Notamacropus eugenii: one gene and its partners. The protein of the gene in region 3 interacts with the protein of the main gene of each other region in a pairwise test. Links are inferred from orthologs where the notes say so. Each region holds a gene or a part of one and is shown on either strand. Other genes may lie near its edges.

The links.
Region 1: the proteins of TNIK (region 3) and HARS1 interact in a two-hybrid assay, tested with the Homo sapiens proteins (2 studies listed by BioGRID and IntAct). The link is inferred for Notamacropus eugenii from reciprocal best matches to the Homo sapiens genes TNIK and HARS1.
Region 2: the proteins of TNIK (region 3) and PAFAH1B1 interact in a two-hybrid assay, tested with the Homo sapiens proteins (2 studies listed by BioGRID and IntAct). The link is inferred for Notamacropus eugenii from reciprocal best matches to the Homo sapiens genes TNIK and PAFAH1B1.
Region 4: the proteins of TNIK (region 3) and MYT1L interact in a two-hybrid assay, tested with the Homo sapiens proteins (2 studies listed by IntAct). The link is inferred for Notamacropus eugenii from reciprocal best matches to the Homo sapiens genes TNIK and MYT1L.

What each region holds. Positions count from the first base shown.
Region 1 is NC_092872.1:368,091,568-368,098,666, forward strand, and holds the start of HARS1 (histidine--tRNA ligase, cytoplasmic), read right to left. Parts: upstream 3,006-7,099; 5' UTR 2,911-3,005; coding exon of another isoform or gene 2,821-2,910; 5' UTR 2,756-2,820; coding exon 2,570-2,755; intron 2,444-2,569; coding exon 2,354-2,443; intron 1,394-2,353; coding exon 1,274-1,393; intron 857-1,273; coding exon 761-856; intron 1-760. Other genes in the region: histidine--tRNA ligase, mitochondrial-like, read left to right, coding at 3,297-3,440, 5,680-5,754, 6,201-6,320, 6,431-6,526, 6,936-7,061. UniProt on the Homo sapiens protein: Catalyzes the ATP-dependent ligation of histidine to the 3'-end of its cognate tRNA, via the formation of an aminoacyl-adenylate intermediate (His-AMP). Plays a role in axon guidance.
Region 2 is NC_092873.1:40,605,144-40,612,752, reverse strand, and holds the start of PAFAH1B1 (platelet-activating factor acetylhydrolase IB subunit beta), read right to left. Parts: upstream 3,006-7,609; 5' UTR 2,918-3,005; exon of another isoform or gene 2,913-2,917; coding exon of another isoform or gene 2,309-2,912; exon of another isoform or gene 2,146-2,308; intron 2,059-2,145; exon of another isoform or gene 1,842-2,058; intron 1,833-1,841; coding exon of another isoform or gene 1,402-1,832; intron 1-1,401. Other genes in the region: uncharacterized protein, read left to right, coding at 1,402-1,832, 2,309-2,912. UniProt on the Homo sapiens protein: Regulatory subunit (beta subunit) of the cytosolic type I platelet-activating factor (PAF) acetylhydrolase (PAF-AH (I)), an enzyme that catalyzes the hydrolyze of the acetyl group at the sn-2 position of PAF and its analogs and participates in PAF inactivation.
Region 3 is NC_092877.1:352,749,553-352,756,877, forward strand, and holds the start of TNIK (TRAF2 and NCK-interacting protein kinase), read left to right. Parts: upstream 1-4,325; 5' UTR 4,326-4,545; coding exon 4,546-4,602; intron 4,603-7,325. UniProt on the Homo sapiens protein: Serine/threonine kinase that acts as an essential activator of the Wnt signaling pathway. Recruited to promoters of Wnt target genes and required to activate their expression. May act by phosphorylating TCF4/TCF7L2.
Region 4 is NC_092872.1:560,946,181-560,953,982, forward strand, and holds the start of MYT1L (myelin transcription factor 1-like protein), read left to right. Parts: upstream 1-4,783; 5' UTR 4,784-4,943; intron 4,944-7,802. UniProt on the Homo sapiens protein: Transcription factor that plays a key role in neuronal differentiation by specifically repressing expression of non-neuronal genes during neuron differentiation.

The DNA of each region.
Region 1 (7,099 bases), on a different chromosome or scaffold from region 3:
GCCACAGAGTTTACTTTCCTCTGGGCAGAACACAGAGGAGAGGAGAGCAGAGGAGCTGCTACTCACTCAAGGTTTGTGTTTGTCCTTCGTTCTCGAAGAGTACCATGTCATCAAGATGATGACATAATAAAAAAAAAATCAAACTGGGAGGGGAAGACCCTCAGGATTCCTAAGAAAAAGAGTAACAATTACAATTACACCAGAAGAAGCTATCTGAAAACAAAGTGGCCACACTCTCCCCAGGCTCCTTGTGCAATTGGATTACCCTAGCAAGAGTTATCGGAACCTTGGAATACTCAAAGGGACGACACCTGACACTGCAGAAATACTAATATGGAAGAAACCCTGCACTATGCTTAGTGCCCACCGGACCCATATTATGACTGCTTTTCTGGAACAATTAAAACAGAACATCATTCTTTACTGAAGATCTACTCAATGGTCTAAACAGTCTTCAAGACAGGCAAAGAATGGTTTTCCAGAATCAGGCAATTTATAATGGATTCAGATGTGAGCCCTGGCACTATATTAAGTTCTTGAATGGTCTTCCTAGGGGTGGGCCCAGCTAATTAGAATTTGCATCTCTGTTTTAGAGAGGGACTTCATCTAACTCGTTCTCCAACTGATTCTTTGGATCACTTATTCAAGAATTTCTTCTTATCCATGTCCAATGTTCTCTGAATCTGAGGATTCCATCACCTCCTGTCAATTAAAGTCCAGTCTAAACGACAGCATCCTAGAGCTCACTTTGAAAGGATACGGTGAGGTCATAACGAAGAGCCAACAGCTCACCACCCTGATCTTTTAGGTCATAGATGAGCTTAGAGTCCTCCCCATACTTTCCAGTTAGTGTTTCCTGGAAGGAAAAGATGAAAATATATGATTATTTCATTGGCTGTGCCTAACCCTGGATAAAGATGCCTAATTGCATATCCCTAATAACATAAGAGGTGCAAACAATCAACTGCCCTGTAGGGTGTTCTGTTGGAGGACTTCAAGAATATTTATGGTTGCAACTACCCCCCAATAAAAACATCAATCCAAAACAGGAACCACAGCCACAGAAATCAATGTGGGAAAATTATGTTGGTTCCTACTTTTAAACATCAATCAAGTTCCTGTACATCAGGAATAGGGCTGGGCTTGTCTACACCCATCTTAATAGTTGATCCCTCATGACTATATCCCATTGGTATCTAATCGACTTGTGTATCTGCTCTACATTCCTCCCCATCTCTTTGCCAAACGCTTCTCCCTTGGCCTTGGCCCTCACCTTCAATTCAAACACAGGGGTATCTATTACTTCGGCACCATGGCGCTTGAAGCAGCTGATGATCACATCAAAAACCTTCTCTCGAACAGCCATCTGCTTAGGGCTGTAATCCCTGGTGCCCTAGTAGTCAAAATAATCAAAGGAGAAAAAAAGCAAGCAAACAAGCAACTCAGTAATAAGAAAGCGGGAGGAGTTGGTATTTCAGAAGTATTCCATTTATAATCTCAATTATAATGGAACAGAATTGCATTTAATTTCCTTTTAACCACCAAGCCAAATCTGCATGGACTGAAGGGGGTTAGGTAGGATAGCTATCATCTAAATAAAAGAAGGCTTTTAACTTCTGGCATTAGAGTTGTGCTTGGAGAGGGATATTTGGTTGGTTGATTTTTAAGTTAACTGTCTTAATATAAAAAATTTTTTAAAATTGATTAACTATGGAATCCCTAAAGATAATCTACATTTTATTTCTATAACAACTAATTGGGAAGTGTGGGGAAAAAAAAAGCAGATATTTCAACAGACAAGAGTTGCTGCTGTTCTTAAGAATCTGCAGTAGTGTTATTTCTCCCAAAGGTTGAGATGACTAAAATCCTGCCTATCTTGACAAAAACAGAACGCACAGGTACAACTCAATTCCAGCTGAATGCCCAAAAGTGTCTGTTTTCCGAAACACGCTAAACACTTCTTCCTCCCAAGAGAAAGCCATGTTTTTAAGTCTGTAGTGGCACCGTGACTAGACCTCTCCTCTTGAACTTATTTAATTTTCTTTTGGGGCTTCTGTCACTAAATTTTTGAAGGTAGGGTCTAATTGAAGGTAGGGTCTAAATATTGCCACCTTTGTATCTTCGGTATCTATTAGTGTCTTGAACTTGTTAAAGTGAACTGACCACACACTCATGTGTGTGTGTATGTGAGAGATGTTGGTCTTCTCTAGTGGGAGCCGAGAGGGAGAAAGAAAGGATTTGGAACTCAAAATATAACCAAGAAAAAAACACAATATATAAAAATAAACCGAACTGACAATGCAGTGAGGCTCATCAAACACCCTCGGAAAGGCTTCTCTAAAAACACATTTACCTTTGGAGTTTTAAGCACAAACTTCTGTTTCCCTTCATCAGGGCCCAGCTCTGCCTTCAACTTCAGGAGCTTGGAAACCTCCTCCTCGATCTGCGAAGGAAAGGCCTCAATAAACACGGGAGTTTGGAAGGATGTGGTCCCTAGCCGGGGCCCTCCTCCAGGCCTCTGACTCAGAGCAAGCTGTGAGACCGTAGGCCAGTCACTTTCCCTCCATACCTCCGTTTCCTCATCTATACAATGGGATTCAAAGCACCGGCAGTCTCCCAGGCGCTGTGACGCTAAAGCCAAAGAAAGAACGTGGAGCTCCTCAAAGGATCGGAACGAGGCCGGCGGGGGAGTCGCCTTCTGGACCCGAGTCTCGTCCCTGTCAAGGCCCTCGCCCAGCCCCTTTCCTCCTTCCATACCGGACCCCTGAGCCAGAGCTCCGTCCACCCCGGGCCCCGATCCGGCCCTCTCGGGGCCCTCACCAGCTCGGCGCCCGCCTTCTGCTGCTTGAGATTCCGCACTCTCTCGCCCTGGAGCCTCACAGCCTCCTCCAGCGCCGCTCGATCCGCCATCCTTGCAACGGCCGCGGCTGTCACTGACTGCGGCCCCAGAGCTCCGCCGGCGAACCGCGCCCAGAGGCAGCTTCCGGCCGGCGGGCGCCTGAACCGGAAGAGCGGAAGTCTGGAGGCCAGAGCGGCCCATCCCCTACCCTTTCCCACGAGACGCTCCGCTCTGGCAGCCTGCCTGCCCCTTGGCGGGTTTGATGCATGGGAACATCCGGCACCCTTTGCCTCAGTTTCCCCCTCCCTAACCTGGTGACCAGCCCGTTCTCACTCCCTGGACCCAGCCCAAGCGCCTTCTCTGCCCCAGTCCTCCCTCCCCCTTCCCCCCGTGTCCAGCCCTCTGCGGGTGTGCACGAACCCCAGAACCGCAGGAAGAGAAGCCCCCTCCCCGGGCCATGCAGCGCCTCGGACCCTGGTCTCGGGAGGCCTGGGCCGCACTGGCCCTCCAGTTGCTGCGACCTCCCCGCGCCCCCTGCGCCGGGGCCACGCTGCTTTTCCGCCGGGTGCAAGGAGGCTTGGGGCAGCCTCCAGCGCGGGAGGTACGTTCTGCCTTCCCCCCTTTCTCTCTGGGCGCTCCTTGGCTTCTCTACTGTCCCAGCTTATCGGTCGATATGGCCCCAGTTTGGGTTGGAAGGGAAGAACCGTCGGGGTCCCCGGCAGGCTCGCCAGCTGTTCCCGGCCTGATTCTACCCCTGTGTGGTTGAGCCCGCTCAAAGCAAGGACTCCAGCTTCTGAATGTGTACCCTACCTTATGAGTAGATTTAAAAACGCTTGATTTATTTTAAAGACCTTAGTTTCCTCTTCGGTAAAGCGAAGGTTTAAACTAAGTGGGCCCTCAGCGGCAGAGGGGTTGGTTGGGCAGAACTGCCTTTGGATCTGGAGCAAACGAACCGCGGTGCTTCGCCCCCTAGTGTTTGTGACGGAGCCCCACAGTCTGCGATGTCAATTTATCCCTTTATTTCAATACGTTTTGTTCAGACTCATGGTACAGAGAGCCTCGGGACTGTCAGCGGAATCATCCGTGGGAATCTTTGAAATCCTCACTTGAATGAAGACTTCACGCAAGTCTTGTTTGTCATATTATGGAGGGGATCCCTGTTTAGGTACAGGTTGAGATAATTGGCTTCTGAGGCCCTTTCTAGTACCGAATGAACACATACTAAATTCAAAACACTGGGCTAAGCACTGAGAATACAAATAGAAAAGCTGTGCAGTCCCTGTTCTCAAAAAGCTCACCCTCTAGTAGAGGAAACCACATATACAGAATGTTTTCATTGCAAATCAGATAGAAAGGTCCCATGGTCCTTGTGATGAAGGGCCAAAGCAGGTAATAATGGTTTCTTTGGAGATTTTATGGTCCTAAAATTTAGAAAGCTTAACCTCTCTAAATTTCTGTTTTCTCATTTTAAAAATAGGGATAATACTTGCACACTCCTTACTTTACAGGTGTCTGGAAAACACATTGCAGACGTTAAAGAATTATAGAAAAGTGAATTATTACTGTAATCATTGTTAGAGATGAATACATTGCTGCCCTGAGAAATTAAATGATTTAAATTAAATGATCAATCACCCAGTTATTAAATAGGACTATCTTGAGGTACCACTCTGTGTTTTCTCAGGTTTCCAAAAAGTCTTATTGTATAGCCTGCTATAATCTAGTATTTTTTCATTCAATTGCATTTTTTTACACATAGAGCCAAAAAAAATGATAGGGTTCCTTCCCTTGAAGAATTTACAGTCTAATATTGTGATGCAGAGAAAATTATGTTGAATTTGGATTCAGAGGACTTGAGTTTAAATCTGAATTGTCACTAATTCCTTGTATGACCTTGGGTAAGCTAAGTAAAACTTTCTAGAATTCAGTTTCCTTATCTGTATTTAAAATGAGTTAGATGGTCTTTAAGGTCCCTTCCAGCACCAAATCTTTCATCCTTTTCTTTGAGGGGGGTGGGGAGATGGAAGGGAATAAGCCTTTATATAGCACCTCCTATGTGCTAGGTAGGCACTATTCTAAACACTTTTTTACAAATATCTCATTTGATTCCCAGCATCCCTGAGAGGTAGGTGCTGTTATTATTCCTATCTTACATTTGAGGAAGCTGAGGCAAATAGATTGTGACTTTCCTAGGATGACACACAGCTAGTAAGTGCCTGAGTCCAGATTTGAACTCAAGTCTTATAGACTGTAAGCCCAGTGTTCTAGCCACTGGGCCACCAGCTGCCTCAGTAGAGGAGTTAATAATCTAAAGCTAACAAATAAAAATCTAATAAATTATTCTTGTATCATAATCTGGTTTATTTTTGTATCTTTATTTTAAAGCAACTTTCTGTAAGAACCCATCTAGATCCAAAGGGCCATAGCCCTTTTGTAGGGAGTCACCTTTCTGATCTGCCATTTTTATTACTATATTTTGAATGTAGAATTAGAGTCTTTTTAGGTTCTGGTCTTGCCATAAATTTATTTTTTTTGTAAGTTCTTGTTTGTTTCTGGGTCTTAAGTTTCCTTGGGTGTCAGTTAGCAAAAAGTCTTGAGTAGAATTGACTAGCTGAGTTTGACTGAATGAGAGTAAATCATGCTGTATGGTGGGATGGAGATATCAATACAATGAGAGCCACTGGGAAAAAGATCTGACTTCATTCAAAATCCTTTATGAACACAATTCGGGCACAAGTGTGGAGCCTGTAGGACTTTCTTCTTGTAACTGGAAGACTAGAAATTCTGGGGGTCAGAGATAAGTATCTCTTGCTTAGCGTGCCATAATCATTTCCTTTCAGTTTGCAGAGGCCAGGTTGAAGATTCAGTCGGAAATAGATAAAGAGAAATCCAATTTTGTTATCAAGACTCCCAAGGTAATCCTCTTCTCTCATCCTTTTTGGTCTCCTTTTCCAGTATCCTGGGTGCTTGGGAAGAGCAGTCTGCCCTTACCTGAGGTGGGACCTTGCAGTGAATTAGCGTATCATATGGTGGATAGATTGCACTTGGAGTCAGAAAGAGCTGGGTTGAATCCTACGTCAGTCATTTACTAACTATGTAACTTTTCTCAGGATACTTCACTTCTCAGTTTCTTCATTTGTAAAATGGGGATGATAGCAGTACTTACCTCATAGGGTTATTGTGAGAAGAGAGTGTGTAAAGTGCATTACAAACCTTAAAAGTGCTTTAAAAGTATAAACCATTGTTGTAAGGTCTATTCATCCTTCCCTGTTTCCTGCAGGGAAATTTCCTACAAATTTGTACAATTTGTTTTTAAACTTTTCACCTTCTTCCCTTTATTCTGGTTGCTTTTGGCTCATAGGGTACCAGAGATCTTAGCCCTCAACAGATGGCTATTCGAGAGAAAATCCTTAATGCTATCATCAGCTGCTTCAAGCGCCATGGAGCTAAAGGGCTAGACACTCCAGCATTTGAACTAAAGGTGACAGAAAGAAAAAGCGGGGGAGGGAGGAGTAGTATTGAAATTCTTCCTTTCTTAGCCTCCAGTATCCCAAACCATATTTTTTAAGCTATAGATTTGTGTTTGTCCAGGAAGTGCTAACAGAGAAGTATGGAGAGGACTCCAGACTCATCTATGACCTGAAGGATCAGGGTGGGGAGCTCCTGGCTCTTCGATATGACCTCACAGTATCCTTCTAAGAACTGTTTTACTTTATCCCAGACTGTCCTTTCCCAAGTCAAGGGAGGGAATTGTAGATGTCATAGTCATATCTGGAGCTCTGATTTCTGTTTTATGTTAGATGGCTCAAGGAAGCATGTCCACAGTAAAGTAAGGACTGAAGGTAATGGTGAAAATCAGGCTTTCAAACTTAAATAATCTGGGAGAATTAAGGATTGAGGTGCATAGGAAGGAAGGATCCCAGGGGTCTTAAACCACTTAGATCCTTGTTTCCCTTTCCCTGAATTTTCAGTTTGACAAGATGATGTTGGAATCTACTGCAGAGATAGGAATTTCTCTAGTATCTGATTTGTGTAGATGCAGTTGGTTACCAGTTCTGGAAGGGAGAGTGCTTTTTCCTTAATCATTTCTTGTGAGGTCCCTTTTGCTCGTTACTTGGCCATGAATAAGATAAAGAAGATGAAACGCTATCACATTGGGAAGGTGTGGCGACGGGAGAGTCCCTCCATAACCCAAGGTCGATACCGGGAGTTCTGCCAATGTGTGAGTGACTGGGTCAGTGGACAGTGAGGAGGGAGTTC
Region 2 (7,609 bases), on a different chromosome or scaffold from region 3:
AAAATATACAACCAAGCAGTAAGTCCCTGCTTTAGAATAGTGACTGATCACTTCTCCCTGGACTCTACAAAAATGACAGAAACCAAGAGCATCAGATTATTTAACAAAGTCCCTTCTGCTATTAGGTTTACTATGCAGAAATATAATTATTGCTGCAATTAGTATTAAGACAGCCCAACAAAAAACAAGAAAAAAAATGCAATGAAAGGGCAACCTAGCCATTGCTCAGCTTCCTTACTCCACCCAGTCTTCTCAAAGGTTGTACGCAGCATCCGCAAATATTATCCAGTTTTTTTTCTTCCAAGGGGAGGGGGATTTAAAAATCGAGGGACGTTCAGAAATTAGAACTCCACTGTTCAAGCATGTATTTGATGAATTTTTCAAAACAGTGCTTTATTTGACATCATGCTCAGCTTCAAATCATTTTTTGTGGGCTACTTACTCCCTTCTTTGATATCCTAAATATTGAAGGATGATTTTAATAAATTAACCAACCCAAATACACAGATTCAATAACTGAGATTTACATGTCCCCTATTTGTGAAATGACAAACTGTAATAATATCACTCATTAAGGATTAAAAACCTAATTAGTATGCTTCAGTCACAAAGATTGGTTAAAATAAAAGGTCAAAGAAAGCTTTCAATGCGGAATCAACCTTATTTCATTCCCTACTGCAACCAAAAAGGGTTGTTCTCTTGATAAAGGATTTGACCTGCAACAACCAAGCCCTGCTGCAGTAGAAAAATTTTACCCCAACGCTACCATAGCAAAAGGAGAGGAATGACATTATTATTGGTATCAAAGGCCCAAGTACGGTCTCCTCCGCCCTCGCCTCAAAAGGAAATGCACAAAACAACCCCACCCCCAAACAAGAATATAATAAAAAAAACCCTGCAGTTATTTTATACTTAATCTTTCCATCATTCTGACGGCAAAGATTTACTTTATGTATATGAAGATCAAAATTACAAAAATATCTTCATTCTCTCCTTATCACCTCTTTAGAATAAAGGGGAGGAGGAACTCTTGGTATTTACATCTCCTCTCCTTAAACGAGAAAACACAAACCAGGCCCTTTTCCCCCAAAGCACAAATCTCTTCCCCTACCAGATTCTAAACTGGCTGCCCACCCCCCAGCTCCAAAGGAAAATTTCCTACCCTCCTCCCAACGAGTTTCTTGCCAAGTCACTAAGGAATGACCGAGTCCCTGATAAAGCAAAGACACCTTCGGCCGCCTCCCCCGGCACCGACGGGGCAGCAGCCCTCCGGGTGGGCTTCACGTTCCAGGGATGCTCTTCTAGTCCCCACCACAACCTGACCTGCGGCCCTTAGGGCCCGCTTCTCACCTGGGAGGGCCGGGGGTGGGGGGATGGGGGGTGGGGAGTAGTCACACAGAGATGCTTTATGTCCCCGAATGGCAGAGGACGCCGGCCCTGAGGGCCACCACCATTTCAGCCCCCCCAGTTTCAGGGAGGGGGCCCCACCAGGTAGAACAAGCACCTCGCCCAATCCGGTCGCAGGCTGCCGCTGGGGGGGGGGGGGGGCTGGGAGACCACCGTCCGCACGGCCCGGGAGGCCTGGAGCGGCGCGGTAGCGCGGGGCCGGGGGCCTCGGGCCGGGGCGAACCCCTCCCCTCGGGGGCCCGGGGACCAGAAACCTGTTCCCCGAGCCTTCCTCCTCTTCCCCCCCCCCCCAGTTTTCCTGCATTTTCCTGCAAAGTCACCGAGGGGGAGCATCTTTTCCTTCCCTCCGCGGCGCGGGCGGGGCCGCCCCCTTCGCCCCCTCCCCCAGCCGCCGGGCCCCGGCCGCCCCCTCCCGCCCCTCCCGGGTCTCTCACCCAACGGCCGCCGCGGCCGCCATTTTGAGAGCGAGGAGAGAAGAAGGAGGAGGCGGCGGGGGGAGGGGAGCAGGAGGGAGGGAGAGGGCAGCCAGGGAGGGAGGCTGGAGAAGAGGAGGAGAGAGGAGGAAGAGGAGAAGGAGGGGGAAGAGGAGGGAGGGGACCGGCGCAGCCACATCGCCCGCGGAGCCCTAGCCCCAACCCGAGCCCCGGCCACAGCCTGCGCCGGCGCCGCCCGAGGACGAGGGGAGGGGGAGGGGGAGAAAGAAACGAGCCCGAGGGCAGGCCCCGGCCGCCGCCTTACCCGAGAGCCCGCCGCCGCCGCCGCCGCCGCCTCGGTGTGGCCTCTTCCGTCCTTCACTCCCATCCACCGGCGGGGGAGGGGAGGAGGGGAGGGAGGAGGGAGGGGAAGGGAGAAGGGAGGGAGGAGGGAAGGGAGGGAGGGGAGGAGGGGGGCTGGCGCGCAGGGCCCGGGCCCGGGGCGGGCTGGCGGGCGTGGGGGGGAGGGGAGCGGGCGCGCGCGCGCGGCTCCTCGGCCGTTCGGGGGCTCGCGCCGCAGTCCGGCCGGCGCTCGCGGCCTTGGCTCCCGCTCCGGCCCGGCTCTGTCGCTCGCACGCGCTCCCCCCTCCTTTCAGCCTCTTTGCCTTCCCTCGGCTCGTCCGTTCTTGTCGTCGGCCTGTTCGCTTTCCTTTCCCCTCCCACCTCCTCGGTTCTACTACCGCCGCTGCCGCCCCCGCCGCCCCCGCCCCGCCGCTCCGGCTCGGTCTGTCACAGGAGCTGCCCCAGCGCCCTGACGTCACCGCGCCGCCGCCGCCCCAGACCGGCCGAGGAGGGAGGGGAAGGAGGAGCCCACGGCGCATGCGTAGGGCCGGCTTGAGGGGAGCTGCCGTCACCCCGGCTCGACGCGCTTCCCGGTTTGCGCGTCACCGAATGGAAGCCGGCCCTCCGCGGCCCCTCCCAGTCCCGCCCTCAGCCCTCGGGCCGAGAGCTGGGCCGGAGCCGCTGCAGTCGCAGCCTCGGGGCCCGGGGCCCTCAGAGGCTCCCCCCTCCCCCACCTGGCCATCATCTTGACTGACCGTGACCGGCTCGTAGCTCTGCAGAGCGCTTTACGTAATGGTCTCCGTAGTGCGGGGGACACCCCGCGGAATAACCGACGTTGAGGGGGCCGGACCGCAGAGACCCGTCATCTCATTGGCGGAGGGAGGTGGGGGGGCGCTCTCCGCCAGGGCAGGTCAGCACCTGCGCCCGCAGGTCAGCGATGAGCCCGGGGGTGGGGGGGGCCTCCCGGGGGGGAGCACTCGAACCCAGCGCCCTCCTGGCGGCCCTTGCCATGCTGCCTCTTACTGACGTCTAGACTGCGCCTTGGAGATTCCAAAGCGCTTCCCGTCCGATTCCCGTTTCAGCCCCCAAAACAGAGGCCAGAGATACTGCAAATGAGAGCCTTGATGTTTGCCCAAAGCTTTGTACAGTAAGGGAATCAGCAGACACATCCAAGGCTAACCAGCACTTCTGCGGCCTCTTCTACCAGCCATGTGAGCGCCAACAGAGAGCTGAGCCAGGCAGAGAAACTGAGGCACACGTAGCCTACAGTGAAATGTGCGATCTGAGGAAGACAGTTTCAGTAAAGCTGAGATTGTACTGGCTGTAGCCTTGGCATCCCCTCCAGCCAGGTATCACTCAGAGCTCAAGGCCTGACTTCTGCGATGCCAAGGCTTCCCTCTTCTTAGTTTTGTCTCCTGCCCTTTCTCTGTTTGAAAAAAAGAAAAAGGGAATGAAGTCACTGGGCTTGGGAGGTTGGGGTGACCTTCTGGACTTAAAGCAGAAAGCTAAGGACCCGACTCTTACTGACTCTAATTTGTGAGCCCAGAGAAACATTCAGGCCCAGAGAAAATACTCCTTTTTTCCCCCGCTGTCACTGCTTCGATTTCTCCTGGCCTCCTTTCTGGATTGAAACAGCATGAAAATGTTTTGCATATCTTCAGATATCATATAAGTGTAAGCAGTTGTCAGGTGAGTTATGTCACATCCTTTCATTTTGGTTATTTTTGTGGTGAAACATTGGTGACAGAGGGGATCCTCTAGAATATCCAACTAACTTGTTCTAGGCAGCTTTTCTTTAGTTGGTGCTAAGGAAATCATATCTGAGATTCATTCTTGAGATACTAATGGCAAGATTTGGCAAATTCCCACGATTAAAGGGTATTTCGTTAAAAGTTGGACTTTGAGCCAGAAATTTCATCCCTGGTTGATAGGATCCTTGGAAAGATGGGTGAAACCTTCCTCCTTCAGGCTTGAATTTGAATGTATTCTTCTATCAGTTCCCATAGAAATCCAGGAACATGTGAAAACAGCAGTTATTTTTTCTTTATGTATACAATGCCTCACCCATAGTAGATAGTTAATAACTTGTTGGTGAATTTTAGTTTGTTGAATGGGATTATTTAATTAAGGTCCTAGTCCCTGAGTGTTTTCTGTCCCCTCAAATATTCAAAAGGAGATCATCTGTCCTGGATAGTACTGGATTAGAAACTCCCAGAGGGCAAACATCCTTTGTTTGATTTTTTTTTTTTAAATCTTTTCACCAACTCCAGCGCCAAGCACATCTGGGTTGCCACAATTTCACCTATCTTTAACCAGAGGACTGTTGTTCTTCCTTTGTTGTTTTTGTTTTTGAAGAGGACCAATGATATCACAGGGTGATGTGTTGACTTGCACATAGATTGGATTTAAGTGGGGTAGAGTTGTGCAAAGTCATCAACCTCAGCCTCTCTTCCAGAGTCATCCAAGTCCAGTGGCAGGACAAAAGTCAGGATGACTGGTGATGGCCTAGGATAAAGTAGATGACCTTGGAATCTTCAATATCTAACCAAGCTCTAAGCTGTCCATTGTGTTTGAGGGTAGGGGGCTAGACATCCCCAGTAACTCTAAGTACAGGTTTGAGGCCTCCACCTGGTTTAGCCTGTCTGCCAAAACAGATTTACCAGGGTGTGGATGATGTGCATGCCATACCTTCTTGGAGCCACGAGTGAGAGATGGGTGAAAAGTGGACACCAAAGGTGGATGAGCAGTTCCGAAAAGAGCTTGAGAAGCCTTCCTACCAGAGGTGCTAAGCCTTCCTGAACACCCCATACACTTCAGAGGGGTAGATGATCTCTGAAAGGACCAATCCAATTCTGTAATTCTCAAATTCTCTATCAGTACAGCTTGACAAAGCAATTCAGTGAAATTCCAGACCCTACTTGACATTGTTACCGATGGACTCAATATGAGTCAATAAGGATTTCTGTAAATTAACATATCCTTTGCTCTAAAAGCCCATCCTTTCTTTCATTTTAACCTTTTAAAATATTTATCATTGCCCAATGCCAAGCTGTTTAATATTTAAACAGCTGAGTAAATCGGATCTACTTTATTTTTTAAATACTTGCTCTAAAACTCAACAATTTTCTCTTGAAAGATCACAGAATTAGTATAAATAAATAATTATGTTTCTAATTGAATAAGGATAACTAGAGTTAGCCAGCCAATCTAACCTGTTTTATTAGACCCAAACCATATCCTTATCCTGTGGTTAGAAGTAATAAAATTGGTACTGGGCAATTATGACCTAAACTAAGAGACAATTTCATTTTCAGAATGCCCCTTTTAAAAGAATTTTAAAGAATTCCATTGAAGGGGAAGAATTCAAACTGTCAGTCCCCTTTTTGGTTTGTGAATTCAGAAACTCAATTTAAAAAATAATTGAGGGACCTTTGTGTATCAGCATATGTGCTACTGTTTGTATTGTGGGTTTATCAGATGCTTGTGGGCACTTTTTGTCATGATGAATAAGATGATGGATGCTTCCTAATGCAATCTCCTCTCCTGTTGAGTATGAAGATTTAAGGGACATCTGTATATGTCCGTAAATTAAAATGTGGAAAGACTTAATACAATAACAGCTACTATATGTATCTTGGGGAAGGAGAAAGGAGCAGACGTCCTGGATTTTAGGGGTTTGGGGAAGCATTAAGGAGAAAGACCCACTTTATTTGCTACAATCTAACAGCTCACCAATCCACTTAGGTTGCAAGCATTTATATTGCCAGCAGACACTTCCAAAATTGAAACCTTTGTTGCAGTTGCTACAGAAAAATTAATGTATGTTCAAAGACTTATGGAAATAGCAAATAAAGTGATTAGTGGAAACAATTTTTAAAAATTATACTGGGACAAAACATTTTCAGAAATGTTTCCCTGAGCAAAATCTGTCATCAGTGAGGAAAGGCCCAGTTGCACAAATTTGAAATGATTTCCTCCCCAGAATTAAATTATCCTGTATTATTTATAGGAGTATATATGTATATAATGGTATATTTACATTTAATAAAATCAGTAGAAAATGGACAAAACTTTGTTTTCAAATATAAAGAGGGTATAAGGAGTGTTGTGGCCATTCTAATGGTAAAGGACACATTTGCAAGAGAGATTCATTCATCTTCAACATATTTAGACCAATTAATAGAGATGGCTGCTTCTCCCTTATGTCAGGTCCAGCCAGACCAGCCACTCTTCCCTTGAGAATCATAGCACTCTGATGTGTCATAAAAATAGAACACAAAGCAATTCAAAGGAAATTAAAAGAGAAAAATTCAACTTGAAAATATATATCATGATGTTTAGATTTTTGAATTTTAATATTTCCCGTGAAAGGAATTTTAAGGACTCAATGGAGTCAAAACATCATTTAAAAACACATAAATCATAAAGAATGTCATGATGCAGATATTCAAGAGTTTTCCCTCTTCAGCAAATAAAAGGATCAAGAATATAAAATTATTTCTAAAAGGGCATATTTTAAAAATAGAAAAAATATTCATCTCTATTAACAAAAATATAAATTAAAGTAATTTTCCCACAAATTGGCAAAAATAACAGTGATGATTCAATATGGATAGGGTTGTGAGTGATCACGTACATTGCTTGTGGAATTGCACATTGGTTTAAAAAAATCTTTTAGGAAAAACTGATGGCATAGGAGAGGTTTTAAAACAACCCTAATAATTCAGATATTGAAGTTTGCCCCCAAAATTGTGGTTATGGAAAAATAAAGATGGGGAAAAGGTAATCTTTTCAAAGATATCTATGGCAGCATTACCATTGTCATTACCAAAAAAATAAAAATCCAATAGGGAAAACACCTAAATATCCAAGAGCTGGGAATGGCTGAATGGTATCTTCTCATAGTACATGCCATATCCAAAAAGTGGCAGAGAAGATATCAAGGGCATGTATGGCCAGAAAGGGAAGTCATATAGCAAAGGTGAGGAATAACAGATTGACTTAAGTGCCAGAAACTACTATGCTACAAAGGAGACCATTGAGTAGATCTCATTTGTGGTTTTGACTGAAAAGGCATATATGGTTATGATGTCTATCAATAGACTATCTACATTAATGAGATCCTAGAGCCATCAAAGCAGATGTGTAGCAATGAAGTGGAACGCTATAATGCAATTAAAAAACAATATGTGTGAGAGAAGGAAGTTTCCTGAGAAGAAAGCTGGCCTGGGAGCCAGAGAGCCAAGTACAAGTCCTGCCTGTTAAACATACTAGCTGTGTGTCCCTGGGCAAGTAAACTTCTCTCAGTGCTCTAGCCAACACCCTTAAGACTAGACTATAGGATGCAGAAAAGGCATGGACTTGCATTTGTAGAATTTCCTTATCCAAGAGTTCTCTACACCAGTAAAATCATAGATCCAGTCCCTGGCCTTTTATCCTTTCTTCTT
Region 3 (7,325 bases):
TCAGTTTCCTCACTTGTAAAATGAGGTAAAGAAGGACATGGAAAACCACACTAGTATCTTTGTCAAGAAAACCCAAATGAGTTCACACAGCTAGTAAGTGTCTGTGGTTGGATTTGAACTCAGGAATATGAGTCTTCCTTATCCCAGGCCTAGTGTTCTGTGCACTATGGCACCACCTAATGGCCCATTAGACATGTGCAAATAGTCACATACATTCATATATGTATATGCATATTCATATATGTATATGTGTATATTTTACATGTGTGTATGTGTTTAGAGAAGCAGCTGTTGTCAAGGTTGGGAAGTGTGTGGCACACTGCTTGGAGACTGATCCCACCCCTGTGCCCTCCCCAGTGGCTATGTGCTTCTTGGAAAGTCAGGACACTTCTCAAGACCCAGAGAAGGAGACTCAGGGCAAGGGTTGATCTGCATTGGAAGAGAAAATTTCCTCCTGGGAGATCCCTATACCAAAGCAATTATGCATCAAGTCCAAATAAAAAACACATATCCTCATGTTTACATGTATCCTCCCAGTATTCAATCAACTAACTATTAGGTAGTGAGGTATTACTCTGTGCTAAGTGTGAGGCCACAAATACAAACCAAAAACATTGGTGCCTGCGCTCAAGGGACTTATGCTCTAATGGGGGAAGGTAACACATTAAATGGTACTAAGAAGGGAGGAAGGAATCAAGGTATGATTTTGAAGCCTTCTAAGTCCTAAGGCACTGTGCTAAACTCTGGAGATGTAAAGAATGGCAAAAACGTGGTCCCTGCCCTCAAGAAGCTCCCCCTCTAATTGCTAGGGGCAGGGAGACAACATGCAGGTCCTTAGAAACAGGTTGTATGTTTGTTTTTTGTTTTAAATTTTTGTCTTTCTATCCTTTGCACCTTGTCCAGTTCTTTTTGTGGGTCCTTAATAAATAAATTGGATTGGAGAGGATTATGGAGGCAGAAAGGACAAGGCTTGGCAAATACTTGCTTTGGGGATAGGATGAGGCAGAATGACCTCACTGAGGTTGCAGACCTCACAGACTAGGTATAAGATAATATATATCAATGGACCCTGAATGGACTGGGTGAAATGGGCATTCTTTTTTCCCAGGGTTCTGAAGTGTAAATATAAGTCGATTGAGCTTGGTCCTCTTATTTAGAGGGCCCCCAAATTTCTGCCATTAATAAAAATATGATTTAGTGCCTTCCAGAGCCATAATTTTTGATATACTAACCTGGGTGCCTAAAGGGGTTATTTCAATTCTAAATGAAGTGATTTGTTCTCTCCTTTTTGGTGAGGGCTATTGTGTTTTGTTATATTCCAAATAAAATTAGGAATGGAAAAATATGCTACTGATTCAAGCAAATTGGTCATTGTTCCTCCTTTTAATACAAATTACAAATACCATATAAAATAATTCTGTTTGAACCCCTGCCCCTTCAATTTGTGATGTTATTTTCTCCAAAATAGACACTGATATTTTAACCTTAAATTAGATCTAGATAGGAAATTGACATGGGAGAGAATAAGGAAGGAAAGACAATTGCCTACCTCTTTCTGACATCACTGAGAGCTGTTGCATGTGACATAAATATGTGGGGAAATAGCTTAGAAAAAAAGATATAGATGTAGAGGTCAAAGGAACATTGGTGGTCAGGTTGTCTAACTCCCAGATTTTACAGACAAGAAACTGAGGGATCCTCCCCTCCCCCCAAAATACTTTACTGTAGATATTGTTCCCAGCAAGTTTCTTTGGAATTCCTTCTAAAGTCCCCCAATTCCAAATTTGAAGATCTTTCTCCAAGCAGAAAATACTTTGGACTTGTCTGAAGCTCTGGGTTCTAGAACTGAGCTGCTAGCGATGTGACCTTTGGCAAGTGATTACACCTCAATTCTCACCAAATCCTCTATCATTCTTCCCCTACTGGATTCTAAGCCCCTTCAGGGTAGGGAATGCTTTCATTTTTGTTTTCAAATCTATCAGAGAGTCTGACACACAAAAGACATTTAATACACATTTGTTGAACTAAATCTTTAGGAAAAAATGGAGAGAAGGATGGATTTGTTATCAGTCCCAATTCCTCCACTTCCTAGCTTTGTTACCTTGGAAAAATTGCTTAGTCTTCCTATACCTCAGATACCTCATCTGTAAAACCAGCAATTTGGCTTCAGTGACCTCTCAGGTCCCTATCAGTCCTAGATCTGATTCTATGATCTTACTGTACTTACCTAACTCCCAGGACTCTTGGTACTGTGGGTAGAGATAATATATGTGGAAGCTCTTTGTAAAGAATGTCATCTAACTATAAGTTACTATTAGTATTAATAACAGGTACCAGGCTTAAAGGCAAAACTCAGTCATGTGAATTTTGGTGGCAAGCGAGCTGGTGGATCAATCTTTCAAAATTCAGGGTGCATTATCATTTCTATTAGTCTTTATAAATACCAACATTAAACACAGTACAGTGGGTGCTGAAAATCATTTTAGAATGCCATGAATAAATTGCAAACATTTAAGCTACTGCCCAGACCTTTTTTTTCATTCACTCACTTGCTCATTCAAAAGCTTTACTCTGAAGCTGGTATTCTATCTTATGTACAAGCAAAGCCATTCAGAGCACTTGGCTCGAGTGAGATTGTTTCTAACAAAGGAGAATGGAACAATTTGAAAATTCACAATTCTATTTGGAACCAACATTCCATTTTCGTGTGCCCAGGGCCGTAGGGGAAGCAGCGCTGGGGGCTGGGGGTTAAGGGGAAGTGGCTTCACAAACCGCCCCACAGTATAGCAGCGCAGCGCTGTAAATATTTTGGATGCAGATGAGAAATTGGCAAAAAAACACACTCAGTCTCCCTCCTACACCTTGTATGTTGCGTGCTTCCTGGCAGGCAAACTTTCGCTCTCCATCTGTGTAGGTCAGCAATGAAACGCGGACAAAAATTTAAATCCAGGTTAGAAGCACTAATCAGCCGCTGCTGTCACAGGTACCTGGCGCCTGGATCGTCAGTTGGAAAGGAGAGTTCTCCCTAGTACCGGGCATTTCCCCCGGGGAACTGCAGGCATTGGAGGCCCAGAGGGTGGGGAAAGTGGGGAGGTGGGTGGCAATTTCCATTCTAGGGCTCATCACCCTTCCACCCCCACATCCTTTCTCAGCTTTGGCAAGATGCACGAGTGACCGTGAATAAGGGGCTAGGGGTAGGGAGCTGACCCCCATCCTGTTGCTTATGCAAATTTCAGCTTTGCCCTAGTAAGTGGCCTGGGCGCCGCGGTTGCCTACGCTATTGCTCCTTCTTTTCTTTCTTTCTTTCTTTCTTTCTTTTTTTTTCCTGTGCCGGACGTGTGCGGCCCACTGCTGGAGGCCGATCTCACCCCGGTGCCCTCCCCACTGCTCCATCAGTCCTTATATGCACTGGCTGCCGCGGCGGGCCAGGCTACTCCAGACTGCAAACAACAGTGGGGTTGGGGGATAATGGCCTTTATTTATTATCATAATTTCTTAAAACCATCGGGATGTGGACCCCGACGTAGAAGGCGAAGGCACAATTCGATCCCTGGTGAAGAATCTGTCTTTTTTTGCTGCAACGTTCCCCCCCAACACCGCCACCCCCAGCTCCGCAGCGATAGAATTTCTTCCCTTTTCTCTGACAGCCCCCACCCCCGCGGGTTCGCTGTATGCTCAGGCACGTTGTAGCAGCTCCAGCCCCAAAACAGGCGAACGTGCCGGGGACGTGGAGGTGGTGGTGGTGGAAAGAGGTGAGATGTCCTCCTCTCTGCCTCTCCAGTCCCCAAGAAGGGCTGGTGCAAGAGACTGGGTCAGGAAAAGCTGGGTCTATTGAGCCGGTGGAGGCCACGCCTCTCTCTCTCTCTCTCTCTCTCTCTCTCTCTCTCTCTCTCTCTCTCTCTCTCTCTCTCTCTCTCTCTCTCTCTCTCTCTCTCTCTCTCTCCCTCCCTCCCTCCCTCCCTCTCCCTCCCTCCCTCCCTCCCTCCCTCTCCCTCCCTCTCTCTCTCTCTCTCTCTCTCTCCCCCTTCCTCCCACCCCCCTCCACTCTTTTTTTTACTCCTCCCAGGAAGCTGTGATAGACACTTGTGTGCGGCGCTCTTCCCCCCATCTGAGTGGAGGAGTTGAAGTGTCTCATTATAACAGCCAATGCAGCGGCCATCCACGCACCAGCAGAAAAGCATGTCCCATTTAAATACACCCACGCAGCCTCGACTCCCTTAGCAGCGCTGCGCTGCCGCCTGGGCCGCTCTCAGCACCAGCAGCAGCCCACTCGTGCCTCCTCCTCCTCGCCCTCCTCCCCTTTCCCCTCCTCCTCCTCCTCCTCCTTCTGCTGCTGCTGCTGCTGCTGCCTGGCCGAGGCGGACTGCCTGGCGGCCAGACCTCGGTCCCTCGCTCTCCGCGGCGGCTGCTGCTTGGACTGCTGCGGAAGGTTGCTGGGGGGCACGACCCCCGCCCGCATGAGGGCGGCCAGCCCCTAGAACTAGGAGGCAATTCAGGGGACTGCCAGGGCACCCGGGGCTCGGTTTGCCCGGCAAAGGAGCCAACATGGCGAGCGACTCCCCGGCTCGCAGCCTGGACGAGATCGATCTCTCGGCTCTGAGGGTGAGCTTGGGCGCTCTCGGCGCCTGCCTTCTTTCTCCTCCCCGGGCGGCTGCATCCCACGATCTGGAGGCATCCATCCTTCGTGGACCGCGGCTGGGGGTGGGGGCGCGAGCGGCGCATGGAGGAGACGGTTGTGGGCTCGGGGCTTTAGAGGGACCTGCTGGGGGCTGTTTGCATTGGGAGCTGCTCTAGAGTCACTTGCCTCCAGGCTGGAGATGGATGCGTGCCGGAACGGACGGATGGGTGGATAGACAGACTGGGTTGCCTTTGGTGGTGGGGACTGATGCTTGGAAAGGGAGATGCCCGGGGGTGTGGTGTGGTGTGGTATGGTGTGGTTGGTGTGTGTGTGTGTGTGTGTGTGTGTGTGTGTGTGTGTGTGTGTGTGTGTGTGTGTGTGTAGGAGCAGCTCACGCCGCCGTTTACCTTTCGCACGGGGCTGTGTGTACAACACCCAGTTCGCCATTCCGTTTCTCTGAGTAAGGGCCACTGGCAGCCACCTGCTCCCGGATGCCCACTCCTGGCGGGCATCGGGCAAACGATGGAAGGCTCAGAGCTATTCCCCTTGGGCAAGAATACAATAGTAATCAGTGTTCAAAAAGGCTTCGCCCTCTCAGAGGCAGTCTGCCAGGGGGCTGCTGAACCTTCTGAATTTGGCAGACCGTATCAGGACCAGGGTCCTGATCAATCCGCTCCAGCTCCCAGTTTTCCTAGGGTGTCTTTCTACCTGCAGCCTGACATTAGAACCGAGACCTCCTTGAGTTCCGGGTGTCACCGGGAAGGGAAGGTGGCCCCGAACGGCTTCCAGGCTTCTAGGACGGCTATGCCAGACTTGTCCATACAAACATTTCCCGTCTCCTCGCCCTCCCAGCCTCACTCCCTGTCTGGCTTCCTTTAGGGAGCTCTTAGGGGCTTGCTTGCCCCCCACCCCCACCCAGTCACCTTTATTTATGCCTTTAACTCCGCCTTAGCTCAGGCTGCTGATCTGAGTCCATTGATATTTCAGTTTTGTGACAAGCAAAAGGGAAGATCCAGATCTTCGAGTGTGTGTGTGTGTGTGTGTGTGTGTGTGTGTGTGTGTGTGTGTGTGTGTGTGTGTGACCTGCTATCAGGCCAATTCACCTTTTTGGGAAACTCACTCAGATGCCGATTCTCTGTATTGACCAAGACATCCCTAAGATAGAATCCATTTTGTTGCCGCCGGGTGGTTTTTAACAGCCAAATATCAGAAACCCCGATGCTGGCAGGATGTTTTCTTTTTTCTCTCCCTCCCCCACACCCCAACACTTGAAGCTAAGGGGCTTTATTTTCTTGCCATTTTAATGAAACCCTGCCTACTGGAAAACTGGATGGGGGTGGAGGACTTCAGAGCAGAAGGAGGAGAACATTGGGGGCCGATTTAAGAAATGCTCATTAGCTTTGCATACTACAAAAATAGCATTTCCCTGTGTTTGATGTGTCCAGGGTCGGAGAAACTGAATGGGCAGGTACAGAATCCCAAATACCTATATGTTCTCCCTGGCGAGGGATAAAACCTGGTGCCCAAGGGATGCCAAATCTATTTTTTGAGGGGGGTGTTATTTCTTTATCGCTTTCAGAGCCCGAATTAAACTCCCTCTCTTTTCATATATTTTAGAGAGCTATTACTGTGATGGAGAAAATCTTGGCACATTTTTTTGGAATAACCACTCACTTGAATCATATCTCTCTCTCTCTCTCTCTCTCGCCCCCCCACCCCCTTCCTCTCCCTCCTCCACCACCCCTAACTTTCCCTTCTGATTCTTTTGGTCTAAGGGAGGGGAGAGGAGGGGGGCAGTTACTGACAGGTAGACGTCTGAAGGAGTAGGCATAACATTTGCAGAGATATGACCATTCAGACTTGGGGTGGGGTGTGGGGGAGTGGGTGAAGCTCATTCACCTTTTAACACAAGAAGGTTTTGGGAATCCTTGCCCTGGCACTGATTGCCACATTCAAAAGGGACAATCCCTGGTGACCATCTTGGCACAGCTAAGGAGCTCTGAGGTTGTGAGTGAGTAGCTTTTATCCTGAGGGTTTTTTTCTTTAAAAAATGCAGCTATTCCTATGTCCTACTTTCTGCACCCTTGAGTAGTGTGGCTGTAGGAGAGTGAGTGGTGGCTGCATAGCAGTTCAAGGTGCAGAGAAAATGGGAATTGGGCATCAGGGACTGGAACAATGGAAACCACAAATGCCATTTCCTCTAGGATAGTGATCCCAAGCAGTTCCCTTTGGAGAGAATTTCAAGTTGAGGGGGATGCATGCCTTTCTGTTGGTTCCCATGGAAGGTTTTGTACAGTTGAATCTGAAGGAATACAGAGCTACCTTGCAAGCATCCATGACCAGTGGGTAGGGCTGGTTTGATGCTGTCTCTAGTCACATTCTTCTTTCCTGTGTGTTTCACTTTCTTGCCTGTGTGTTTCAGAATACCTGGTTTGTATCCTGTACTGAAACTGACCAGCAAGCCTGAGGCTCGCTGCTCTGTGTTCCTTCTCTGGCATACTGCCAGGTAAGGGTGGGAGAAAGATGGCAATGGCAAAGCATCAAGGAGGAGAACTGGGAGGAAGGAGGCCTGGTTAGGGAGGAGTCCATGAGAGACACAACTTAAGCCCAGGCAGGATGCCAAGTTGCCCCCAAACTAGGATTATTCCTCTGGGGTCAACAGAGAAAACTGTTGGTGAGGAAGAGGGACAGAAAGACCGAATGACAT
Region 4 (7,802 bases), on a different chromosome or scaffold from region 3:
TGTGTATATATGTATGTGTATATATATGTATGTATAATATATATCTCAAGACCTGCCCTATGAAGTCCACAGCACAGGTAATATTAACCTCATTTTACAGGTAACAAAATTGAGACATAGAGAATCTTGCTCCAGTTCCTCCAGGTGGAGTCCACATAGTGCAACTGAAAGAATAATGGTTTTGAACCTAGAACCCTGGGTCTACTTCTTGTACCTTTGTGACTTTCCACTTACTTCCTCCACTGTCAAGTAGGGGTGCTGGCCTAGACAATATCTAAATTTTGTGATCTCAAATTATTTGAACCCAGGCCTTCTAACTCAGAGTTTATTCCCCCTTTCTTATTATTCCATCCTGAATTTCATGATGTCTCCATAAAATATGTGAAAGATATGAGTCACACACACACACACACACACACACACACACACACTTTTTATAAATGGGAAACTGGAATTCTCTCAGTGAATTGGGACTCTAAAATCCATGTCTTACAATTCCAGCACAGTTGAGTTTCTAGTGAGTTTGGTCAATACCAACAGGCAATGAAAGACCTAGAGAGAAGCATCTATCAGTCACCAGGCTCAGTTTGAAGTGACCTCAGAGGCCATCTACTCAACCTCTCCATTTTACAGATGAGGACAATGAGGCTTTGGGATGTAGCATCATAGGCAGGATCTAAAGCCAAGTCGTCTGACTTCAAAGCCAGGGCTCTTTCCACTGTACCAAACTGCCCCCTGTAAGTCAGAAATACAAAGTACAAAATCCCTCACAAAAAAATAAAAAAATAAAAAAGCTCCCTTAAAGAGGAAAAAAAATTTAAGAGATGATAAAAGTTTAAGGAATCAAATTCCTCCAGCTTTCAAACGTATAGACTCACAAGAGATGGTGAAAAGAATGAGTCTTGGCACTAGAAAGCCCATACTGAGTTCTCTCTCTGCCACTTACTGGAAAGATGAAGTTCAGTATTTCACTTAATCACCTTATGCCTTAGCTTTACTAACTGAAGCAATTAGAAAAATAGTTGTTGGCTATGAGGTCATAACCTTGGTGGGAGTCTCAAGTGATATAACATGTGAAAAAACACTTTGTAAATATGAATGTGCCAAATAAATATGAGCTATTAGTAAGCCAAGCTAAAGTCTACACAGCTGTATCCTAGAACCAGTAGTGAGAATGAACCCACTGGAGATTTAGGGGGTCAGATTCTTCAGTATGAGGTTTTGTAACATAATGGATTCCCCTAAAGTTTCAGGTAATTTTTTTTTGCTCAAAGTTGTGCTGCTTGCAGTTATCCCAGAAATATTTGTATGAAAACATAGTAGCAGCAAAAAAAGGAATTTACAGCAAAATCCTTAATAACTTGTCTGAAAGCCTTCAACATATCAGCAGAGGGATAAAGGGAGCATTGGCCTACTCAACCAAAGCTAGGAACTCATGAGTTCTTGAAATTTCCCTGAAACATTTTGTGCCCTATTTAATCCAACAGTATAGAACCTGGAACTAAAAATCTTGAGTTGAAATTACAACTCTGAGGTTTACCAGCCATGTATTGGGCTTTGGACAAGGTATTATGATACAATAAGCATCAAGAAAATGGACTTGGAGTCAGAGGACCTGTGTCCAAAGGCCTGCCTTAAGTTTGATCTTAGATAAGTCATGTGACTTTTCTAGGCCTTAGTTTTTTGATCCGTAGCAAGGAGATAATAATGCTTATACTACCTATTTAAGTCCTAAAGAATTTAGCTAAAGTGTCACACTAACAACTTATTATTTAAGCATTTAAACATTATTTAATATGTTACTTACACAATGCCACATTTAATCTGTAATCTGGTCATATAACTAATTAACCTTTACACCTAGTCCTTTAATGTTTCAGGACTGCTTCCCTCATCATAGCAGCCCTTTGTGATAAGGTGACGCAAGTATTGTTATTCTCATTTTATAGATGGAGAAACTGAGATTCACATAAATAGTAAATATAAAAAACCAAAATTCTGAGCTCTAGGTTCAGTGTTCTTTCCACAGGACCACACTGATTTCCAGACATCTCAGTGGTTTCCCTTCCCATGAATTGTGGAGCCAAAATCACAGCATCATTTTAGGTAATTTGTCATAAAATAAACGAAGGTCACTTTTTACAGACCACCAACACTGATGCACACCTTCCCCTACTCTACCATCTATTTCAGGTGTCCTATCACCTAGTCTGCTCTCACAAAAGTCTGTGTCCTCCCTCATAGTATCTCCCATCATAACTGAAATTTCCCAGGGCATTGTGGAAGCAATGATATGGCCAGCGGTATATTTTTAGTTTGGAGTTAGAGTTGTGGATAGAACTGTGATTTCATTAGTGGTAAGAATTGCCAGCGAGAAAACTCCCTCTACCAATGGAAGATCATTGTCTGTTCTGTAATTTCTGTAATGGCCTGGGCCCTTGAGAGGTTTAGTAACCTGCTCTGGATCACATATCTAATACGGGTTCAAAGGCAGGGCATGAGCCTCGTTCTTCCTAAATGTGAAGGCTGCTGTCTCCATCTGTTCTGACACAGTGCCTCTCCAGGTTGGTTTGTGAAGGAAGAATGATGTCAGGGAAAGAAAAAATATGCTCCTTGAGGGCAGGGACCACGTCCTAGATAACCTTTACAGCCCCTCCCTGTCCAAATCCATGTTTGTTGTTAATACTGGTAGTATGATCATAGGCAAGGTAATTCATCTCTCTGAGAGCGTCTTTCCATTTTCAAAATGAGGATAATAATAACTGCTCTTTATAGTGCCTCTAAAATGTGAGCTATTCTAATCATTATCTCTACCCCATATCCCATGACTTTGAGGGTAAAACAAAAAATCAATTAATAATATAGTCTATAACAAGGTATTAATGTGACCTTTGCAGTGACCTTCTTGAGTCCCACCTAACTTGGTTAAAGCATTTGTGACTGAAGGTGCTAATAAACAGGGAAGGATCTGGGCGGGGGGAAGCCTGGCATGCTTTTTCAGCAGCCTTCAAATTACTTTGAGTATGCAACTTCATGCATAACCATTTATGTATGGAAGATCTCCTCTACCGTCAGAGCCTTGTCTGATTCTAAAGCTACTACAGGAAGGAAGGAAGGAAATGAGCATTTATTGCAAGTCTACCATGAGCCAGCTGTGCTGTGGGAAGCTAGGTGATAAAATGGATAGAGTGTTGGGCCTGAAGTCAGAAAGACTCATCTTCCTAAATCTAAATCTGACCCCAGACACTTACTGCTGTGTGGTCCTGGGCAAGTCACTTAACCCTGTTTGCCTCAGTTTGCTTATCTATACAATGAGCTGGAGAAGGAAATGGCAAACCACTCCAGTGTCTTTGCCAAGAAAACCCTAAATGAGGCCATGGAGAATTGGTCACAACTGAAAATGACTCAACAACAATAAACAGCAGCTGTGTGTCAGGCACTATGCTAAGCACTTTACAAAAAACATTTTTTGATCTTCCTAACAATCTTTGGAAGTAGATGCTATTACTTCCATTTTCCCATTGAGGAAACTAAGGCAAATGGAGGTTGAATAACATGCCCAGGGTTCCAGAACTAGTAAGTGTTTGAGACCAGATTTAAATTCAGCTCTTCCTGACTACAGGCTCAGAACTCTGTACGCTTAACTATCTCTCTCTAGCATACAAGCACTGTAAGCACCAGTCTAGGCTGTTCCTAGGAAGGAAGACTAAAAGCTAACCTAGGAGGTTAACACTGGTTCCCCTGACCCAATTTTGTAGAGAGTTCATTTCCAGGACCCCTGGAATTTCTTATCAGCTTGTGGGTTAAACATCCCAGATAGAGGCAGGAATCTCAGAACTCTTTTGAGCAGATTAAAATCATTCATGGCCAGTAGAACTAACCATCATTTGATAGGTCCTCTTAATCACTTGATGCAAATAGACAGCACTAATCTCCCTAGGGAAAGGAGTTGCTGAATTTATCCCAGTGTAGACCATCCTGCAAAACCACAGTAGCAGGGTCTTTACTTGGGAAATCCAAAGATTTACTGTGTAGTTCCTAATCACAGGGCAATAGGACTTACATTTGGAAAGGACATTGGAGATTATCTATTCCAGTTGTCATCAACCAAAGGACAAAGAAAGGAACATGTTAGTGATTAAAAGCTGTTGCAAAGAATCAGTAAATCCATAAACACACTAAGCATTTTACTTCCTATTTTTATTTAGCTTCAATAAAATATATAGAAATTCAGTATAACAAATGAATAAAAATAGTTTTTTGTAAGCTTAATAAACATCATATATACATATACAATTTTTCATATCATTAATGTTAATTAAAATACAAATTAATTTTAAAGTACTATGGAATTCAGAAGAGTTTTTGTTATTATATATTTTTAAATCAGTGTAGTACTCTGTGAAATGTTTTGACATTAGCAGAGTATCATAATTGAAAAATTTTGGAATCACTGATGTAATTCAACCTCCTCATTGTACACTTAAGGAAAGTGAGTCCCAGAAATAGTATGTCGTATACAAAAGTTCTATAGCTAATAAGCAGAAAATTTGAACTGATATCCTCTGATTCCAAAACCACTGTCTTTTTACTTTACTGTGTTGCCTACAAAGCTTAGGAGATCTTAGAAACGTAAGTAAGAATATTTCTACGCCTAATGGCAGTTGGTGGGCTATAGAGCCTGCTAGTTAACAGATTTAGAGACAATGATATTAATATTCTATTCCTATTTATACTCAAGTAAACTAAAGAGATGCTATATGTTGTTTTCCATGTTTTACAGATGGATAAACTGAGGCACAGGGAGATTAAGTGACTCCCCCACGGTCATACAGCCGGAGAGGACTAGGATTAGACCTCAGAGCTCCTGATCCCCAGACCTGTGTCTTTCCCATTGAGCCACCACGCTGCCTCCCTACCTAAGAGAAAATACTTTCTGTAAGGTAAATGGTGGTCTCTTCTTTATGTTTGGACATATGGAGTGCCTGAAAACATACACACACACACACACACACACACACACACACACATATATATATATATACATAGTAAAGTAATATGACCTATAAGTGCATACTCAGTTCTAAGTAACAGAAGTAGGAGTTTTTACCTTTTTTTCCTATTTGTTTCCAAATAAGGTCTGGTTTGGGTGATTTTTAAAATATTTGTAACTTATCATTTGAGCCAGTGAACATTCAATTTTTCTGAAACAGACTTGAAGGCCAAATAAAACTTACCTCACTAAATCCATAATCCTCTGATTCCAAGAAAAGCTCTACCTTCTTATTTAACTTCTAACCTATGAGTTAGAAGGGGAGCTTTGTCACCTCAGGGAAAAAAAGGTACAGTCACTGGAGGCAGCATATGGTGTAATAACAAAAGGTCCAGAGGATGCAGGTTTAAATCCTTGTTATGCTACTTAACTTGGAACTTTGGACTATTCACTTAACATTTCTGAACATCAGAGATTTTGACTATCTAAACAATTATGGTCATGATACATGTGTTACAGAAACAAAGAAGACATAATAAACAGGGAAACATTTAAATATGAAAAATAAGCAGGTATATTTGTGTGCATGGGTGGCCAGAGTTATACACAGGTGTGCATATGAAGCAACACATAAAGAAAGTTAGGAATCACCTAATCCAATCTCCTCACTTTACAAGGATGAAACTGAGGCAGAGAGGGAAGTAATTTGTCCATGGTTTCATAGATAGTAAGTGACAGAGCCAGGGGAGGAACCCAGCTCCCTGATCCCCATCCTTTGCTGTATGAACTATGCTATGCTGAGAATCAATCTCCTCTACACAAATTCAACCATCTTCAAGAAAGAGATAGGTGGGGGGCTGGAGGGGCAGGGGGAACATTAATGGTATGGTATAGAGTGGTACTAAAGCAGCCAGACAAAATTCTAAATAGAACATCTGCTTGCTGCTCTGTCCTTTCCCTTCGCCAGCATATAGGGAAACAGTTCCTGATCTGGTCAATCATGAAACCTTTCAACATTGTGATCCTGTCGCCTGCCTCCTCCTTCTGTGACCTACTCTCAACCTCAATTCTCCCCCATTCCTCAGCTCAGAAAGCACCTCTGTCATCAGACCTTTCATGCTCCCATATTTATTAGCTTCTCCCCACCACCATCAATTCCTCTGTATTTATTTTGTATATGTGCACATACTATCTCTCTCTATAGAATATAAACTCCCTAAGGGAAGGAATTGTTTCATATATATCTTAGTATAAAAGCACAGTGCTAGGCACCTGGGATTTAATAAATTCTTGTTTCTTAATTGATCAAAATGAAAAAAGAATCTGATATCAATTATTTACCCTTTGCAGATAACTGACTTATTATACCTTGGTCTTGAACTCATTCACACTGTTATACTATCCCTACTATCATTCACATTTTAATTTTCCTATGTAAGAGAATAGTGGGGAAATATAGAGAGCTAGAGGAGTCCATGAAATCATCCTAGGTATATTCAGAAGCTGGAGGTATTGAAAACACAGTCTTCCTGCTCCCTTATAGGAGATATGTTGGAATGGGCCAGTTTTTTCTCCTGCAGGCCTAAAAGAGCTGCAGAAAATAGTAAATGGCTTTGAAGGAGTTGTATAGCTAAGGATCGATAAATAGTAGAGTTCAGCAAACACTGTCATTAGCAACCAGCAGTCAAATCCAGGGGAAAGCAGAAATACATATCCACAGGACTATTTCTTCCCATGGGAAGAAGAACCCATGACCTTCTGTCACTTTCTTCAAGTTCCTGCTGCCAACCTGGCCCTCACATCCAGCTGTCAGCAGTCCCCTTCCCTGTCACCATGGTCCTCTTCCCAGCCTAATGACATTTCCCAACTGATAAATCAAAGCATAGAATCACAGAACTTTCAGGGCAGGAAAGGATATTAAGGATCATCTAATTCCTCATTTCTAGTCCAAATTTCCTTATGAGGCCCAGGGAGGAAGAAAGATTCCTCCAAGGGAGTAGCAAGTTGTTGTCAAAAGACCACTGAATTTGCAAATAGATGATCTGGTTTTGAATAATATTCCTGCTACTTACAGTCAATAATCCATTGGGCAAGTCACTTCCTTCTCCCGGGCTTCATGTCCTTTTCTGTTAAGTGAGAGAGTTGAATGAAATGGTCTCTACAGTCCCTTTCAGTTCTAAAATCTAAGTTTACATGGCTAGCAAATAGAGAAGGCAGGACTGGAATTCAGGTCTTCTGACTCTTTTTAAGCCCTGCCCTCCCCTTCTTTTGTCCTTCAATGGGAGTTGTTTCCTGGTACATTTGACTTGGTTATTTTTAGTTAATGTCGAATTATCTTTTTGTACCACAACTTAGTTTTACCTGATATACAGGAATGCATTCCTCAGTTTCTTATATTATTTCTTCCTCTGAGAACAACCTTGTCCCTCTAGGCCTTAATTTCCTCCTCTGTAAAAATAGAGACGTAGGCTCCTGGAGTTAATAGGAAGCCACTGGAATTAATAAACTAGCAGGGATGTGACATGATGAGAATCATGTTTTAAGAAAATCACTTTAGTGGCTAAGTGGAAAATGAATTGGAGTGAGGAGAGACTTGAAGTAGGCAGGTCCAGCAGAAGGCTAATGCAGAAATCAAGGCATAAGGTAATGAGGATCTGCACTAGAGTGGTAGCAGTCAGAAGAGAGAAGGGGGCGTGTTTGAGAGATGTTGCCAAGGTGAAGCCAACAGACCTTGGCAGCAGCTCAGATATGGGGAGTGAGAGAAAGTGAGTCTAGGATGACTCACTCTTAGATTGCAAGGCTGAAGGAC